Saccharomyces cerevisiae S288C: one gene and its partners. The gene in region 1 interacts genetically with each later gene. Each region holds a gene or a part of one and is shown in the gene's direction. Other genes may lie near its edges.

Region 1 (4,435 bases):
TTTCAAAATGGCTTACGGAATCCTTAAGAGCTATGAAAATTACTCAGCCAACCGCTATCCAAAAGGCTTGTATTCCCAAAATCTTAGAAGGAAGAGATTGTATTGGTGGTGCCAAGACTGGTTCTGGTAAAACTATTGCATTTGCAGGGCCTATGCTGACTAAATGGTCCGAAGATCCGTCAGGGATGTTTGGAGTGGTCTTGACCCCAACCAGAGAGTTAGCCATGCAAATTGCCGAACAATTTACTGCACTTGGTAGCAGTATGAACATTCGCGTGTCAGTTATAGTTGGTGGTGAAAGCATCGTTCAGCAGGCATTGGATTTACAAAGGAAGCCGCACTTTATTATTGCCACGCCTGGACGTCTGGCACATCATATCATGAGCAGCGGAGATGATACCGTTGGAGGGCTAATGAGAGCTAAATATTTAGTTCTAGATGAAGCCGATATTTTGCTAACTAGCACGTTTGCCGATCATTTAGCAACATGTATAAGTGCTCTACCTCCCAAGGATAAGAGACAAACACTTCTATTCACTGCAACTATAACGGACCAAGTAAAGTCGTTACAAAATGCACCAGTGCAGAAAGGGAAACCCCCATTGTTCGCTTACCAAGTAGAAAGTGTAGATAATGTGGCTATTCCATCGACGTTGAAAATAGAGTATATCTTGGTTCCAGAACACGTCAAAGAAGCATATTTGTACCAATTATTAACATGCGAGGAATATGAGAATAAAACCGCTATAATATTTGTAAATAGAACAATGACCGCGGAGATCCTTAGAAGAACCCTGAAGCAGTTGGAAGTGAGGGTAGCGTCGTTGCACTCTCAAATGCCCCAACAGGAAAGAACAAATTCCTTACATAGATTTCGAGCTAACGCTGCAAGAATCCTCATCGCTACAGATGTAGCATCCAGAGGTTTGGATATCCCAACTGTTGAGCTTGTAGTGAATTACGATATACCTTCAGACCCAGATGTATTCATCCATAGATCTGGTCGTACGGCCCGTGCTGGCAGAATTGGTGACGCCATATCATTCGTTACCCAGCGAGATGTTTCTAGGATACAGGCCATTGAGGACCGTATCAACAAGAAGATGACAGAGACAAACAAGGTACACGATACCGCTGTAATAAGAAAAGCCTTGACCAAGGTAACCAAGGCGAAGAGGGAATCGCTGATGGCAATGCAAAAGGAAAACTTCGGTGAGAGAAAAAGACAGCAAAAGAAGAAGCAAAATGACGGGAAAAGTTTGCGCTCTTGAAAAATTCTAAATAAGATTTAAAGACGTACATATCGTACAATCTGGATACTGTTTTCCAGGACAACTGATAGATACAATTTTGGCACATATGAAGTATGTTTCTATATAACGGGTGAGAAAATCGCTGTAAATTCAATTACGTACAATCACCGACGGGTAACTTATTTTTTTTTCTTTTTCTCTTGTAGTTGGAAAATTTTTTGAAGCTCATCGCATTGGAAAAGAAAAATTACTAGCAGTTGTGATGATTTAACTATGTTTTGAGGAACCTTGGCTTTATCTTTTATTTGTCGCCTGGTACATAACACTACATTTTATTGTCTAATAAACGTTGAGGAATTTGACAAAAGGATGGAATTCACACCTATAGATCCGCACCAGCACCAAAATGCTGCTACTCTTCTATGTTGTAACTGTGGTACCCCAATCGATGGGTCCACTGGGCTGGTTATGTGTTATGACTGTATCAAACTGACTGTGGACATTACTCAAGGTATTCCAAGAGAAGCGAACATTTCATTTTGCAGAAACTGTGAAAGATTTTTGCAACCACCTGGACAATGGATCAGAGCAGAATTAGAATCTAGAGAATTACTGGCCATTTGTTTGCGTCGTTTGAAGGGCCTAACAAAAGTCAGATTAGTGGATGCTTCATTCATTTGGACAGAACCCCATTCTAGACGTATTAGAATTAAACTTACCGTGCAGGGAGAAGCCATGACAAATACTATTATTCAGCAAACTTTCGAAGTAGAATACATTGTTATTGCGATGCAATGTCCAGACTGTGCCAGATCCTACACTACAAATACTTGGAGGGCTACTGTCCAAATTAGACAAAAAGTGCCTCACAAGAGAACATTTTTGTTTTTGGAACAACTGATTTTGAAACATAATGCTCATGTGGATACCATTTCCATTAGTGAAGCTAAGGACGGGTTGGATTTCTTCTATGCGCAAAAAAACCACGCAGTTAAGATGATTGATTTTTTGAACGCTGTTGTTCCGATTAAACATAAAAAGTCTGAAGAACTTATTTCTCAAGATACACATACTGGTGCATCTACTTATAAATTTTCATATTCTGTCGAGATTGTTCCTATCTGTAAAGATGACTTGGTCGTTTTACCAAAAAAACTGGCTAAATCTATGGGTAACATTTCTCAATTTGTTCTATGTTCTAAGATTTCTAACACTGTCCAGTTTATGGATCCGACTACTTTGCAAACCGCGGATCTGTCACCATCTGTGTACTGGAGGGCTCCATTCAACGCCCTGGCTGATGTGACCCAGTTGGTGGAGTTCATTGTTCTGGACGTGGATTCTACAGGTATAAGCAGGGGAAATCGTGTCTTAGCTGACATTACTGTTGCTAGAACGTCTGACTTGGGTGTTAATGACCAAGTCTACTACGTCAGGTCTCATCTCGGTGGTATTTGCCATGCAGGTGATAGTGTTATGGGTTATTTCATTGCAAACTCGAATTACAACTCAGATCTTTTTGATGGGTTAAATATCGATTATGTGCCTGATGTAGTTCTTGTGAAGAAATTGTATCAAAGAAAGAGCAAAAAGAGCAGACACTGGAAGTTAAAGAGAATGGCTAAGGAACACAAAGATATCGATGCATCCTTAGATTACAATTCAAGAGCTCAAAAGCAAGAAATGGAACGTGCAGAAAAGGACTACGAATTATTCTTACAAGAATTAGAAGAGGATGCTGAATTAAGACAAAGTGTTAACCTATACAAAAACCGCGAAGCAAATGTACCTCCTGAAGAGCATGAAATGGATGAAGACGAGGATGAAGACGCTCCACAAATCAACATTGATGAATTATTGGACGAGTTAGATGAAATGACATTAGAAGATGGAGTCGAGAACACACCCGTTGAATCTCAGCAGTAAAAAAACACCAAAGAATGGAGAGTAGTATATACTCTTAACAAACACTAGCATTTCAGTTTATCTATATACATATATATGGATGTAAAATGTACTTTATGGAAGAACAAGCCACCACATGTTGAAAACTAGATAGGCAAGCAAGATTTTTCATTTGTAGAGCTCTTACGCAAGATTTTTAAACTTCCGCTTTTTTAATCCATGAGATTCCTTTGGACACCCTTTCCGGCACGGCAAAACAAAAAAATTAAGGGAACTCATTATTTTACGATGCTACTTAGATAACTAAAGTTCATTATATTTCAACAAATATAAGATAATCAAGAATAAAATGTCGTCAGAAAGGGTCTTAAGTTATGCACCAGCTTTTAAATCATTTCTGGATACATCTTTTTTCCAAGAATTATCGAGATTGAAACTCGATGTTCTGAAATTAGATTCAACATGCCAACCACTTACTGTGAATCTAGATTTACACAACATTCCTAAATCTGCTGATCAAGTTCCATTATTCTTAACAAATAGAAGCTTTGAAAAACACAATAATAAGCGTACTAATGAAGTGCCTTTACAGGGCAGTATTTTCAATTTTAATGTATTAGACGAGTTTAAGAATCTTGATAAGCAACTATTTTTACATCAAAGAGCATTGGAATGCTGGGAAGATGGAATAAAGGATATCAATAAGTGTGTTTCTTTTGTGATTATTAGTTTTGCTGACCTAAAAAAGTACAGGTTTTATTACTGGTTAGGTGTTCCCTGTTTTCAAAGACCCTCTTCAACAGTTTTACATGTGCGGCCAGAGCCGAGTTTAAAAGGGCTGTTCTCAAAGTGTCAAAAATGGTTTGATGTCAATTACTCAAAATGGGTGTGTATACTGGATGCAGACGATGAAATAGTAAATTATGACAAGTGTATTATTCGAAAAACTAAAGTTTTGGCGATAAGGGACACTAGTACGATGGAAAACGTCCCTTCTGCTCTAACCAAAAATTTTCTCAGCGTGTTGCAATACGATGTTCCTGACTTGATAGATTTCAAACTATTAATTATTAGACAGAACGAAGGTAGCTTTGCATTAAATGCTACATTTGCTTCTATTGACCCACAATCATCCTCAAGTAACCCAGATATGAAAGTTTCTGGATGGGAAAGGAATGTGCAAGGTAAGCTAGCACCACGTGTTGTTGATTTAAGTTCATTGTTAGATCCTTTAAAAATTGCTGACCAATCCGTGGATTTAAATTTGAAGCTAATGA
Region 2 (5,470 bases), on another chromosome or scaffold:
CGATCAGGATAGACTGTTAACAGCTGTTCGTGCACAATATCCTTTACTTTCTGATGCTGAGAGGGCAAGAAATATTCGCGGAGAACCTGTTTTATTAATAAGTAACAAGAATGCTAATTATGAGAGGTTTTCGAAGAAATTATACTCAAAGGAAAACAACAACAACAATGTTGTTGTGAAGTTTCAACACTTCAAGAGTGGTTTAAGTGGTATTGTATCAAAGGACGTTGAAGGTTTCGAATTAAATGGGAAAATTGTATGTCCGATTCAAGGTGGGTCACTGCCAAATTTATCTACCACCTTGATTTTAAAGATGTCCTATAGATTAATTCCGTTGCCATCGAGAAATAAGTCTATTATACTGAACGGGTTCATTCCGTCAGAACCGGTACTAACAGCATATGACCTTGATTCCATAATGTACAAGTATAATAACCAAAATTACTCCCGTCGCTGGAACTTTGGTAATGATTTGAAGCAAAATATTGTTCCAGTAGGACCAAAGGGTATTACTCAGTACAAACCAAGAACTGGTGGCTATCGAGCATTCTTTTATTTTGCTGAGCTCAGTAGAAATAATGTCCAACCCGCCCACAACTATGGTAGGAATAGCTACAACAGTCAACCCGGCTTCAACAATAGCAGGTATGATGGTGGAAACAATAATTACAGACAAAATTCAAATTACAGGAACAATAACTATTCCGGAAATAGAAATAGTGGACAGTACAGCGGCAACAGCTACTCTCGGAATAACAAGCAAAGTCGGTATGACAATTCAAGAGCAAATAGGCGTTAGAACTACTCGTGCGCATTTTATTTTATGGTAAATTTAGGTTTTCGCAAATTTATAAAATCTTCATACAATTAAAAAAAAGCTCTTTTAAGATAATAGTGTCTGCTCTTACAAACGACGAACAGTAATATTTTATAACAAAAAATGGAACATATTAAGTTAAGAGAAAATCATGCTGAAGCATGAATATATGAATATACGTCCTCTTGTAAAATAGCGAAATCCTTGTAAGCCAATAGACCGAACTCTATTTTGATTTATACGCTTCGTGTATTTTTTCTTCCAGATCCAGGAGAAAAAGCATGGTCTGTTCTTCTTTTTTGAAAAGAGAGGCAGTCCACGGCGAAAGTTTCGAATACGGCACTACCTTTTTTTTCTAAGTTCCTAAACTTAAAATCAAATTTGGTCTTTGGTCTGTTATCATCCAGGGATGAATGCAACATATTGGGAAGTTCATGCTATACAACGCCAACCCCTTCGCTCAAGTCACGAAAGCACATCTTACACTTCCTCCTTGGCCAATATGCAAGCGTCCTCTTCAAAAAATCTTGCAACAAACAATCGGGTAATGTGGGATGTTGTGGAAAAATGAAATAAAGTTTTCAATAAATCCGACTGAGCTAAGCAGGAAAATTTTCGTACGCGGGTTTTTGTCCAATTTTTTCCCTTCCTTTTGAAAACACGGAAAATCTTTTAGCGAAGGCTGCTCTTAGTTCCATAACGGAAAAATTCCAGGAGTTATTAAAAGACAGAGTTATAGTTTAGTAAATTTTCTTTTGAGTTAACGAGAGAGGGACGTTTTCGAACTAAATAGAGGAGAAGAAAGGCTTCAAGAAATATCGTACCGTAGGAAACCAGTTTAATATATTAGAAGCTCTCATTTACCTATCATTTTCGTTACCATCGCGATTGTAGGAGGTTTTGCACTACTTAACAGACAAATAAAACGAGATGTTTGTTTCACCACCTCCAGCAACAGCGAGGAACCAAGTATTAGGGAAAAGAAAATCGAAAAGACATGACGAAAATCCAAAGAATGTTCAACCCAACGCTGACACAGAAATGACAAATAGCGTTCCTTCTATTGGATTCAACAGCAATCTTCCACATAATAACCAAGAAATAAACACACCAAATCACTATAATTTGAGTTCCAATTCAGGAAATGTTAGGAGCAACAACAATTTTGTTACTACACCACCAGAATATGCAGACAGGGCAAGAATAGAAATCATAAAAAGGTTATTGCCTACTGCAGGAACTAAACCTATGGAAGTGAACAGTAATACTGCAGAAAATGCAAATATCCAACACATAAATACCCCGGACAGTCAAAGTTTTGTTTCAGACCATTCATCTTCATACGAATCGAGTATATTTTCACAGCCATCTACTGCTCTTACGGACATCACCACAGGCAGCTCGTTAATTGATACAAAAACACCTAAGTTCGTCACAGAAGTAACACTTGAAGACGCTTTACCCAAAACATTCTATGATATGTATTCTCCCGAAGTTCTGATGTCTGATCCAGCAAATATACTTTATAACGGACGTCCTAAGTTTACAAAGCGCGAATTGCTGGACTGGGATCTAAACGATATACGATCCTTGTTAATTGTGGAACAATTAAGGCCAGAATGGGGTTCCCAGTTACCGACGGTAGTGACCTCCGGTATAAACTTACCGCAATTCAGACTACAATTACTTCCCCTAAGTTCCAGTGATGAGTTTATAATAGCGACATTGGTTAACTCAGACTTATACATAGAAGCAAATCTAGACCGCAATTTTAAGTTGACAAGCGCAAAATATACAGTTGCATCAGCAAGAAAAAGACATGAAGAAATGACTGGGTCAAAGGAACCCATTATGCGTCTATCAAAGCCTGAATGGAGAAATATAATTGAGAACTATTTATTAAATGTTGCCGTCGAGGCCCAATGCAGATATGACTTTAAACAAAAGCGCTCCGAATACAAGAGATGGAAATTACTAAATTCAAATTTGAAAAGGCCTGACATGCCGCCTCCAAGCCTCATACCGCATGGTTTTAAAATACATGACTGCACTAACTCTGGTAGTCTTTTAAAAAAGGCTTTAATGAAAAATTTGCAACTAAAAAATTATAAAAATGATGCTAAGACATTAGGTGCTGGTACACAGAAAAATGTCGTTAATAAGGTTTCTCTAACTTCAGAGGAGAGGGCTGCCATCTGGTTTCAATGCCAAACACAGGTTTATCAAAGGTTGGGGTTAGATTGGAAGCCTGATGGAATGTCCTAGTAAATTTTTACAACAACGCAAAAACGAAATACCCCACTATTTAACCACTTAACGACATTAATATTAATTACAAAAGTGTTTGATACACGTACTATTATAGATTTCGACGACCTTTAAGATTAAGTAATACCTTTAATAATTTTAATATATTTTAAGCCTACTGCTCTAAAATTGCCCAAAAAAAAAACCCAAAAAAATCAACATTTAAATATGATGATACTCCCATATATATCGTATTTAAAGAATAACTCTGCTGTTGTCTTGATTATTTGATTGTTACATTATTATCAACGCGGTATTACCCGTATGCAAATTTTTCAATCAAGCAAAGCATTGCAAAATTTGCATTACCTTTAAAACCAGTTGACCTTTATACACCATAAAATACTCGATCAGCAACCAAGAACATCTATAAAAATACTTACCACCTTAGATCGGAATGAGTGATACAAAGAGAGATCCGGCCGATTTACTAGCTTCTTTAAAGATTGATAATGAGAAAGAGGATACAAGTGAAGTTTCAACAAAAGAGACTGTTAAGTCCCAACCAGAAAAGACTGCTGATTCGATCAAGCCTGCAGAAAAATTAGTTCCAAAAGTTGAGGAAAAAAAAACAAAACAGGAGGATAGTAATTTAATCAGCTCAGAATATGAAGTTAAGGTCAAACTTGCTGATATCCAGGCTGACCCAAATTCTCCATTGTACAGTGCTAAATCTTTTGATGAATTAGGATTAGCACCAGAACTACTAAAGGGGATATATGCTATGAAATTTCAAAAACCATCCAAAATTCAAGAAAGGGCGCTGCCATTATTATTACATAATCCGCCTAGGAACATGATTGCTCAGTCTCAATCAGGTACAGGTAAAACTGCCGCCTTTTCTTTAACGATGCTAACAAGAGTAAACCCAGAAGACGCATCTCCACAGGCAATTTGCTTAGCCCCCTCCAGAGAACTGGCCAGACAAACACTAGAAGTCGTTCAGGAAATGGGTAAGTTCACAAAAATAACCAGTCAGTTAATTGTTCCCGATTCTTTTGAGAAAAACAAGCAAATTAATGCTCAAGTGATTGTTGGTACGCCGGGCACTGTTCTTGACCTAATGCGTAGAAAATTGATGCAGCTACAGAAAATTAAAATTTTTGTTTTGGATGAAGCCGATAACATGTTGGATCAGCAGGGTCTAGGTGACCAGTGTATTCGTGTTAAGAGATTTTTACCCAAGGATACTCAACTTGTTTTGTTTAGTGCTACTTTTGCCGATGCAGTTAGGCAGTACGCAAAGAAGATCGTTCCAAATGCTAATACTTTAGAATTACAAACAAATGAAGTTAATGTTGATGCCATCAAACAACTATACATGGACTGCAAAAACGAAGCAGATAAGTTTGATGTTTTAACTGAGCTATATGGTTTAATGACAATTGGATCTTCCATTATTTTTGTTGCAACCAAAAAAACCGCAAACGTTTTATATGGGAAATTGAAAAGTGAAGGTCATGAAGTTTCTATCTTGCATGGTGATTTACAGACACAAGAAAGAGACAGATTAATAGACGACTTCAGAGAGGGTAGATCCAAAGTTTTGATTACTACTAATGTCCTGGCCCGTGGTATTGATATTCCTACTGTCTCAATGGTTGTCAACTATGATCTTCCAACGCTTGCTAACGGACAAGCAGATCCAGCTACTTACATTCACAGAATCGGTAGAACCGGTAGATTCGGCAGAAAAGGTGTTGCCATTTCCTTTGTACATGACAAAAATTCTTTCAATATTTTATCTGCAATTCAGAAATACTTCGGTGATATAGAAATGACTCGTGTTCCAACGGATGATTGGGATGAAGTCGAAAAAATAGTTAAGAAAGTGTTAAAGGATTAGAATTCAGTACATAATACCTCAAAATACGTAAAAGCTTTAATCTAATTTCATACACCAATGAATATATTATTACGACATCAATGGGTCCCATTTGTTTCTTCTCAGTTTGTTGATCCACTTTTACTTGTGAGGCAAGCTTATATAAATACAAACACAGCATATACCTTGTGATTTCGATACCTTTGTCACTCTCTTTTGTCACGGCTTTCCGGTGAACAGTAAACAGCCCGTATACAAAAGGCTTGCGTTAAAAGGAATACTAAATGTAAAGCATACTTGCTTTTTTTCCATTATATACACTGCTAACTCTACATAATTCGGGAATAAAATATAAACATATTTGACAAATTCTTTTGAGAACCCAAAAACCAATATATATACAGGTAAGTGAAAAAATCTCAACTATACAAGAACCAACCCCTTATAATTGTGGGGCCAACATGTCCATGAGTGGAGATTGAATAAACGCAACACCTGCAACGAAGAAGGCACCGTTTAGT
Region 3 (4,652 bases), on another chromosome or scaffold:
TTGGGTGGACTGGAACGCATCCAGTTGGATCAAGCCAATGGTAGAGAGCAATTGTAAAAATGGACAAATTAGCGCCACTAAGGACTTGGTAAAGTTAGTCGAAGAATTTGTAGAGAAATACGTGGAATTGAGCAAAGAAAAAGCAGATACACTCAAGCCGTTGCCCAGTGTTACATCTTTTGGATCACCTAGGAAAGTGGCAGCACCGGAGCTGACGATGGTACAGCCGGAGTCGAAACCAGAAGCTGAGGCGGAAATCTCAGAAATAGGCAGCGACAGATGGAGGTTTAACTGGGTGAACATAATAATCTTGGTGCTCTTGGTGTTAAATCTGCTGTATTTAATGAAGTTGAACAAGAAGATGGATAAGCTGACGAACCTCATGACCCACAAGGACGAAGTTGTAGCGCACGCGACTCTATTGGACATACCAGCCAAAGTACAATGGTCAAGACCAAGAAGGGGAGACGTGTTGTAACAGAGTAATCATGTAATATTGTATGTAAGGTTATGTATGTTCGTATGGTATGGAAAAAAAAAAAAAAAAAGGATGCTATGTGGAGAATGTAAGGCGTGGTAGCTCCGGATAATTCAGTCTGTAGGCTTCATCACGGGCAGTGGCCTGACTCTGAGAGCTTGCTCCGGTATTAAGTTGTGCGTTTGAAATTTTCTGGAAAAAAGAAATTGATTGGTTGAAGCTATACTCGTCGAAAGATTTCTTCGGCAGTGGTTGTTGCTCCACCTGCACGGGAGTTGTGTTTGCGTTTATGTTCGGCTTGGCTATATTATTAGCGAGTGATGTTTGCAATTTGCTGTATTGAGAATCAATTTGGGTGCGTAAGCTTTCAATAATTTTGCAGACCGCAGGCACTTCCAACTTTATGAGTTGCAGGTATTCTCTTTTATGAATATACGATGACGACGATGACGACGACGCATCCATGCGCAAAAGCTCAGGGTGTCTAGATAGTTTGTTAGTCAATAAATCCACATATCTAAAATAATAAATAAACGACAGCGACAAGTCGTTGGCCTGGAACGCACACTGTGCCTTTTCCAATATGCCGATGCATGTTTTCAGGTAAATTCTCAATGGTATCGCCGGATTGAAGCGATAATCCTTAGCGTCCTGAACCAATTGCTTACTAGACTTCATGACCTACCGGGGCCAGATAAAGATGCGGAAGGAAGAGAAAAAATGTATAGTGGTTGGTGAACCGCAACAATAATTCGTGCCAACACTTTAATCGAAGCAAAAATTGTCTTGTATGTTATTAATATTATCTATCTAACCATTGATTTACGTATAAAACTGTCGATGCTCATCGCCTAGCAATGAAAAAATTTTTTCTTTTTTTTTTCATTATTTCTCTTTGTTGCGTACTTTTTTTCATTGCGTTTCGCGGCAAAAGCGATTCGAGTTGACTGGAAGTGTGTTATACTATAAAAAGTGTATATGCCTATTTTTGGTTCTGATCTTTACTTTACTGTTAAGTACTGGCTGAGGCAGTAGACTCTGCCTCTGTTACGGCAGCGGTATTCGCCTCGGCATCAGCAGCCGCCCACGGTAGAGTAGGTTCTGTTGTTTTGACGTTTGCCAAGGTACTGTCCAAATGCTCCTTCAGCAAGGCCTCATTACTTTCCTTCTCCGGACCCACCGATTGCGTGATCTCCTGTACACGGTTCAAGAACTTGTTCAAATTGTAGCCCGCAGCAGCATCAGAGACTTCTTGTGTGTAAGGGACACCCCTCAACTCCTTGACTCTTCTTTTGTGCACTTTGCCCTTTAAATGCGTTTTTAACGCTATAGCAGTCTCCATGTATTTGGCACAGTGTATGCAATAGTGCTGACCAAGGCCCGGTTTGGTTTCATCCAATGGCTGGTTCAGAAGCTTCTGTACTGATTCCTTGGTGGACAAATCGTTATAGATCAGGTCCAAGTCTCGTGTTCTTCTTTTAGTCTTGTATCTCTTCACCGAATATCTACCCATGATGCGCTATTGTTTTATCTTCACTTGTCTGTGTGTTTAACTGCCTTTCAATTCACCTCATCTCATCTCCCGCTACTTTCCATATATAAAAGCAAAATTAATTTGCTTTTTCCCCTGTCAGTATAAAAAAATTTTCCGCAGGATATAGAAAAAAAAGAAATGAAATTATAGTAGCGGTTATTTCCGTGGGGTGCTTTTTTACACCTGTACATCTTTTCCCTCCGTACATTTTTTTTATTTTTTTTTTTGGTTTTTTTTTTTCGATATTTTTCCCTCCGAAACTAGTTAGCACAATAATGCTGACTAAGGAAACTTTTCATCTCAGAATTGATGGTCAGTTTGGTTTCTCTAGAGAATAGTTTATAAAAAGATGTTGATGTGGAGCAACCATTTATACATCCTTTCCGCAAGTGCTTTTGGAGTGGGACTTTCAAACTTTAAAGTACAGTATATCAAATAACTAATTCAAGATGGCTAGAAGACCAGCTAGATGTTACAGATACCAAAAGAACAAGCCTTACCCAAAGTCTAGATACAACAGAGCTGTTCCAGACTCCAAGATCAGAATCTACGATTTGGGTAAGAAGAAGGCTACCGTCGATGAATTCCCATTGTGTGTCCATTTGGTTTCCAACGAATTGGAACAATTGTCTTCTGAAGCTTTGGAAGCTGCTCGTATCTGTGCCAACAAGTACATGACTACTGTCTCCGGTAGAGATGCTTTCCACTTAAGAGTCAGAGTCCATCCTTTCCATGTCTTGAGAATCAACAAGATGTTGTCTTGTGCCGGTGCGGATAGATTGCAACAAGGTATGAGAGGTGCTTGGGGTAAGCCACACGGTTTGGCCGCTCGTGTCGACATTGGTCAAATTATCTTCTCTGTCAGAACCAAGGACAGCAACAAGGATGTTGTCGTTGAAGGTTTGAGAAGAGCCAGATACAAGTTCCCAGGTCAACAAAAGATTATTTTGTCTAAGAAGTGGGGTTTCACCAACTTGGACAGACCAGAATACTTGAAGAAGAGAGAAGCTGGTGAAGTCAAGGACGACGGTGCTTTCGTTAAGTTCTTGTCCAAGAAGGGTTCTTTGGAAAACAACATCAGAGAATTCCCAGAATACTTTGCTGCTCAAGCTTAAGTTCTTTTCAAACATTTGAACTAACTTAAAAGAGAAATTTTTTTGATTTAAATTCTAGTTTATTAAACAGTAAATATATTTATACATTATTGTAATACATATAATTATGTGTTTTTTTAAAGTTCAGCATGTTGGGTAGTGATATATCCTGAAGTCAATGGACACTGTTGCTTTTTGTATACCAGCAGGAAAAAAAAAAGCCTGAGCTGCAGTAACGAAGAATTGTTGAATGCGTCTAACAAGAAAGGGAGCAATCGATAACAGGGACGTGCGCCGCTAATGTCATTCAGATTATTCACGAGGACTTCTCAACGTCTCCCTCGCCTTAACTGGGTTAGTCCCATCAGGCGATACGCCAAACAACCTCAATACGATGAAGCAGAGTTGTTTGCAGAGAACATTAACCATGGCGCATATAAAGCAAAGAAAAGGCCATCAGACGAGCATTTCCAATGGCCTGAGAAGTCTCCTGATCAGATCACAAAGGAATCTGAACTCCAATGGGAAAGGATGGCGAAATTATCTGCTGTTGGGCAAGGGATCCTCATTCTCGTGGTAGTGGGTGGGTTGGGAACGGCCTACTTGCGTTGGCCAGAATTAAAATCCTGGTGGTTAATCAAGATGAATGGCGGTCGCATAAATGCAACGCAAGAGCAAAGTGGACAGGATTCGTTGGAAAAATTGATCAGACAAAAGGCCAAAAATCTATTAAGGGAGATTCCTCAAGTGCCTGCCTTTCAACTTGGAATAGATCATCCTGGTGTATACATATGGGGAAGGTGTCATTCTAAGGACTCATTGTTCCCTGTTAGAGTACCTAATTTGGATGGTCGTAAATTCAGAGATATCCTATTAGCTCCCTCTGACGATTTCAACACCAATTTTGCAATTGACGAGAAAGGCGATTTGATATCGTGGGATGATTTGGGACAAACAAAAACGATATTGCCAGATCAAGATTTGACCTCAATGAAGTATTCTAGTCACTTTTTGTACGCTTTGAATAAAAAGGGTGAAATATTGGTCATACCTATAAGAACGCCGGATCTGATAGCTTCGCAAGTATCATCAAGAAGGTCGAAATTGTTGCCATGGAAGACAAAACTAAGATATGATTGGAAATTACAAACAAATCAGATTTTCAACGGTAAGGAAGGAGAAAAACGTGTAGTACAATTTGACGCTGGTAGCCATCATCTGGTGTTGCTATCTAATTTAGGTAAGGCTTATTGCTGCGCGACGGGAAATGATCAAAAACAAGCTCAAGTATCCAAAGGACAATTCGGTATACCAACATTCTCACAATTCGATGAGTTTCCTCCCAATAATCAACTATTCGAAATTGAACTGCTGAACAAATTTAAGCATGAAGGAGAAGACGTTGTCCGCAAAAGAGAAATTAAAAAGATAGCTTGCGGGTCGTACCATACACTGGCAATAGATAAGACTGGTGAAATTTATGCCTTTGGCTGGAATAGGTTCGGCCAATTGGCACTACCTATTTCGTACAATCTAGAATATGTTT
Region 4 (4,279 bases), on another chromosome or scaffold:
TGAAGATGCAGAGACAGAACTGTAACTAGCGTTGTCGAGTTTCATCACCAATTGTCTTGCAGTGTTACCGAAAACATTTGATGCTTGCTTTGAGATTTTGTTCTTAGATGGTTTCCTTACATTAGATTTGGAATTGTTCGATAGAATGTCTCTATTCGCAAGCAATTTTTTTATTTGCAAAGCTTTGAAACTGTTCGTCTTTTTGTGACTGGCATTTGGCATGGGAAATGAATTTCCACGTAATTGTCTTTGATGTTTAACTTCTTGAACCAATTTTTCACTAATAATTGGATTGAATATTGAATCGTTATTGCTGGATTTCCCCTCAAAAAAAGAGGCCTCTACTCCTCTAAGCGTCGTGCGCTCCATGGTTCTATTGGTTGGTGGACTCATCGGCGGTGTGACGGGAGGAGTAATACTCCATGCATTGTTGGAAAGATCTTTAAATTGATCTTTAGCTTCTAGAATCGAAGGAATTAGTTTGGTACGATCAAATGATTCCTTAGACGGGGAATGGAACTTGGACGACCTAGTCGATTCCAATTCCTTGCCGTAATTGAAACTATCATTATTTTGATTATTAGTTAAGTTGGGTATACTTAATGGCTTGAAATGAGCCACTTCTTCGCGTATTTTAACATAGTCTTGATAGTTTGTATCCTTACACCAATGGGTAAGATCAGTTTTCCAATTAGATGTACGTTTTGATGTATCAGGGAAGCGTGCTGCGTTTTCTTGTAAAAGAGGACTGGGTAATAATTGCAGATGCCTTAGTGATGGTAGGCTTTGTTGTGGGCGCTCCGGTCTCTTAGATAAAGAGACGGACGATAGCCTGTCTAACAATGGTAGTCGAGGTTGTGAATTAGAGGAAAAACCTAAGCCAGACCCATAGTTCAATGGATTTGTAAAACTAATCTGAGATAAGCTTGCCTTGTTGAATTCTGGTGAATTGCCTGGTGTTAATGAGGAAATTGGATTGTAATCCATATGATGTGGCGATGCTGGTGCAGTATTTGATTTTTTTCCAAGTATTTCGTTAGCCAAAGATATTGGGGAAAGAATTGGCGACACATTGAGCGAATGAAACGAATACTTCCTAGGACTTGCTGAATTTATATTGTTATCGGTTGTGATATTGTTCCTGCTGATATTACTGGATAAATTGGAAAATGAAGGCAATAAAAGATTGTCATAATAGGAGCTATTTGCATGAGAATCCGGACCAGCAGATAATGCATGCAGTGGTGTTTTGATGTATAAGCTTGACATTTTTTTGCTTTTCCCGTTATGAGAAATGTTTTTTTTAGACTGAAAATAAAAGAATGGATAGTATTAAAATAGTAATGAACGTAATAAGGATAGGACAGGAGCGATAGGAAAAGATAGAATTTTGGAGCTTTTTTTCCCTCTTTTTTTGAGCAGGAGCCAATAGTAGTCGGAAAGATGAGTGTATAGATTTTTCGTATTTTATTTCGAGTAAAAATATCACGCTCTTAGGTTCAATAAAAGAATATACTATTTCTTCAAAATGCTTCTCTAATCTATTTTTTTATTTTCCTTAATAACTGAAATATTATTTTTTGATGTAAAATGAGTGAACAAGAATAAAGGATTTTTGGTATGTTTGCAAGTTCTGTGGAGTTCCATGTATAAGGTATACATATTAGAAAAGCTTTACGATTATATACTAACATCATGTACAAAACAGTTTAATAATGATCTGTATTGCTGGCTCAATCCACGTAAGGAAAATGATCAGCCCAATCCTCAAAAATAAAATGGCCCTTCCAAAATTAGAGACATATCGTAGAAATCAGACGCACGCTTGGCGTCAATATCCTAAAACGGAAAACTAATCAGTTAGATGTGTCTTTTTTAGGTAAAAAAAGGCAACCAACTTTTTGCTGGCTAGCGATGCGACAATAAACGCGCGCAGCGAATAAAAATAAGATGGCGGAGGAGCAGAGACTTCTTTTCTTAGAAGAGGTTTTGTTACCGTATGGGGGTATGATGGTTAGATGGCTGAATAAAAACGTTAATTAAAGGAATACAGAAGAGGAAGCGCCCCGATTTCTTTTCTGTTCCACATGAAAGCAGCCGGTTGGGTGGTAGATCTCTAATGACATCCAAACTACAAAACCGAGATTGGACATATAGCACACTCTGCATTTCTACTTTCCTTTCTCCCTACAGTTTGCTCGATCTGAACCGATGCTTCTTTGATTGGACAAGATGATAGACCATGACTCCCTGTATGTATTGCAGAGATTGCCACTACTAACCAAGAAAAGTTGAACGTGTCGTACGTATAAAACGATTTATGCTTAGGCTTTACTGAAAAAAAAAAAGTAAAAAGAGGATGCGCAAACGCATAGAGCAAGTAACTAACCTGTTTTTATAGTATATACTTGGCCCCACCAGGCTGATCGTCAGGCAAAACGCCAAACTAATAACAGTAATAACAGAAATATGAACACCAATAGTAATACTATGGTAATGAATGACGCAAATCAAGCACAAATAACGGCCACATTTACGAAGAAGATATTAGCGCATTTGGATGATCCGGACTCCAACAAATTGGCCCAATTCGTACAGCTTTTTAATCCAAACAACTGCAGAATAATATTTAATGCTACCCCCTTCGCGCAAGCAACAGTTTTTCTGCAAATGTGGCAAAACCAGGTCGTACAAACACAACATGCCCTAACAGGAGTAGACTATCACGCTATTCCGGGATCCGGCACGTTGATATGCAACGTCAATTGCAAAGTCAGATTCGACGAAAGCGGCAGAGACAAGATGGGGCAAGACGCGACTGTTCCCATTCAACCAAATAACACTGGGAACAGAAATCGACCCAACGATATGAACAAGCCAAGACCTCTATGGGGTCCATATTTTGGCATTTCCCTGCAGCTGATCATCGACGACCGCATATTTAGAAATGATTTTAATGGTGTAATATCGGGGTTTAACTATAACATGGTTTACAAACCCGAGGATTCTCTGCTAAAAATTTAGTGGGAAGATTCCGCTCTACCAGGGAAAAACAAAATTATATAGAAAAGAAGGTAAGTAATAAGTAATACGAAAAAACCCAAAAAAAAAATTCAAATACCCCAACCCTGTGCCCTTTCTATTTTTATGGTTGAAAAGGTTACAGAGGATCCTCTGGAGCGGTGACAACAGTTGACGCAATCATGGTCCCTGGCGGTCCCTAAGGATATCTCGGAGGAACCGAGGCACGGAAACGGCTGCACGGGTACGCCAGATAAGGATAATTCAGCCGTCACGCATGAACAGAAGGATGAGCATTTGCTCACCTTCCTGGACTTAACTTGCGTGAATGAAAAGAAGAACACCAATGTTAGAGTAGGGCTTCGCACCAAACTTTAATCAAGAAATCTGAGGAGAAATGATTCTAAGTCTAGCCACGAAAACTGCAAAGCGCACCAAAAGTAAGAAACGACAAAGTTTTTCTAGCATTTTTTTGTTTCATCAAGAGAAGAAACACGATTTATATAACTGTTACCGCTAAAACCTACATCTAAACTTTTTAATATCTGAAAGCGCTAGTCGTGTGTACCCCCCTCAACTGATCAACTGGTCAACGAGCTTTACTTGTGGAAGTTCATGGCAAACGCTCCTTGGCTTTTGCCTAGTCTTGTTCTATGGCACATTTTTCTGTTGAGTTACACCCCGCGTGCTAAAAAAGGGGTGAACCATCAGAAAGCTTATTACTGAGTTTTGCGGAGCATCGCTCGGAGCGGCGGAATTGAATCGAACCGCCGTGCTATTACCGAACAAAAAAATTCGAAAGCATAAACTCAGTAGTGAAAAACTTGAGAATTTTCAGATGAGTGGCGACTTTCCAGTCCTTGCGGTTTTGTCACCTTAGTCAGCTAGTAAGGAGGCCGTGTGGGTTAGAGTGGCTACAATCCTCAAAGGGCACTTCTAGAACCCACGGTGAATTTTTTTTGGCATGATAAATCGGTAGAATCGGTGAAGTAATTACCCAAAAAAGGATCGGGATTGTGTTTCTCGTAATTCCGTATTATTGCCGATGGCATCGACTACTTCTTTTTTCAGAAACCCCAACAAGGGTCTATTGTAATTGTATATAAACCTTTTTGTAATGGATATATACATGTGGTACTATTTCTCCTCATCCTGCTCCATCGAAAATCCTCATACGAAGAGTTAGGAAAGCAAAGAAAACAACAAAAACATGAGGATCGAAAAGCACCGTACCCCCCTGTCGAAGGGAATTATTTGG

The links.
Region 2: mutations in NMD3 (region 1) and DBP5 impair growth when combined (synthetic growth defect), as found in Saccharomyces cerevisiae (one study listed by BioGRID).
Region 3: of NMD3 (region 1) and RPL10, a mutation in one rescues a mutant of the other (synthetic rescue), as found in Saccharomyces cerevisiae (8 studies listed by BioGRID, with this or other methods).
Region 4: mutations in NMD3 (region 1) and MTR2 are lethal when combined (synthetic lethality), as found in Saccharomyces cerevisiae (one study listed by BioGRID).

The regions. Positions count from the first base shown.
Region 1 is NC_001140.6:442,206-446,640, forward strand, and holds NMD3 (ribosome-binding protein NMD3), read left to right. Parts: upstream 1-1,622; coding exon 1,623-3,179; downstream 3,180-4,435. Other genes in the region: ATP-dependent RNA helicase DBP8, read left to right, coding at 1-1,271; ATG7 (Atg7p), read left to right, coding at 3,508-4,435. UniProt on the Saccharomyces cerevisiae protein: Acts as an adapter for the XPO1/CRM1-mediated export of the 60S ribosomal subunit. Unlikely to play a significant role in nonsense-mediated mRNA decay (NMD).
Region 2 is NC_001147.6:413,959-419,428, reverse strand, and holds DBP5 (ATP-dependent RNA helicase DBP5), read left to right. Parts: upstream 1-3,521; coding exon 3,522-4,970; downstream 4,971-5,470. Other genes in the region: ssRNA exonuclease RAT1, read left to right, coding at 1-799; STD1 (Std1p), read left to right, coding at 1,748-3,082; TOM6 (Tom6p), read right to left, coding at 5,392-5,470. UniProt on the Saccharomyces cerevisiae protein: ATP-dependent RNA helicase associated with the nuclear pore complex and essential for mRNA export from the nucleus. May participate in a terminal step of mRNA export through the removal of proteins that accompany mRNA through the nucleopore complex.
Region 3 is NC_001144.5:280,466-285,117, forward strand, and holds RPL10 (60S ribosomal protein uL16 RPL10), read left to right. Parts: upstream 1-2,461; coding exon 2,462-3,127; downstream 3,128-4,652. Other genes in the region: LAM6 (Lam6p), read left to right, coding at 1-478; RFU1 (Rfu1p), read right to left, coding at 554-1,156; BUD20 (Bud20p), read right to left, coding at 1,491-1,991; FMP25 (Fmp25p), read left to right, coding at 3,407-4,652.
Region 4 is NC_001143.9:91,489-95,767, reverse strand, and holds MTR2 (Mtr2p), read left to right. Parts: upstream 1-2,469; coding exon 2,470-3,024; downstream 3,025-4,279. Other genes in the region: DNA-binding transcription repressor ASH1, read right to left, coding at 1-1,269; FAT3 (Fat3p), read left to right, coding at 4,232-4,279. UniProt on the Saccharomyces cerevisiae protein: Affects mRNA transport from the nucleus to the cytoplasm.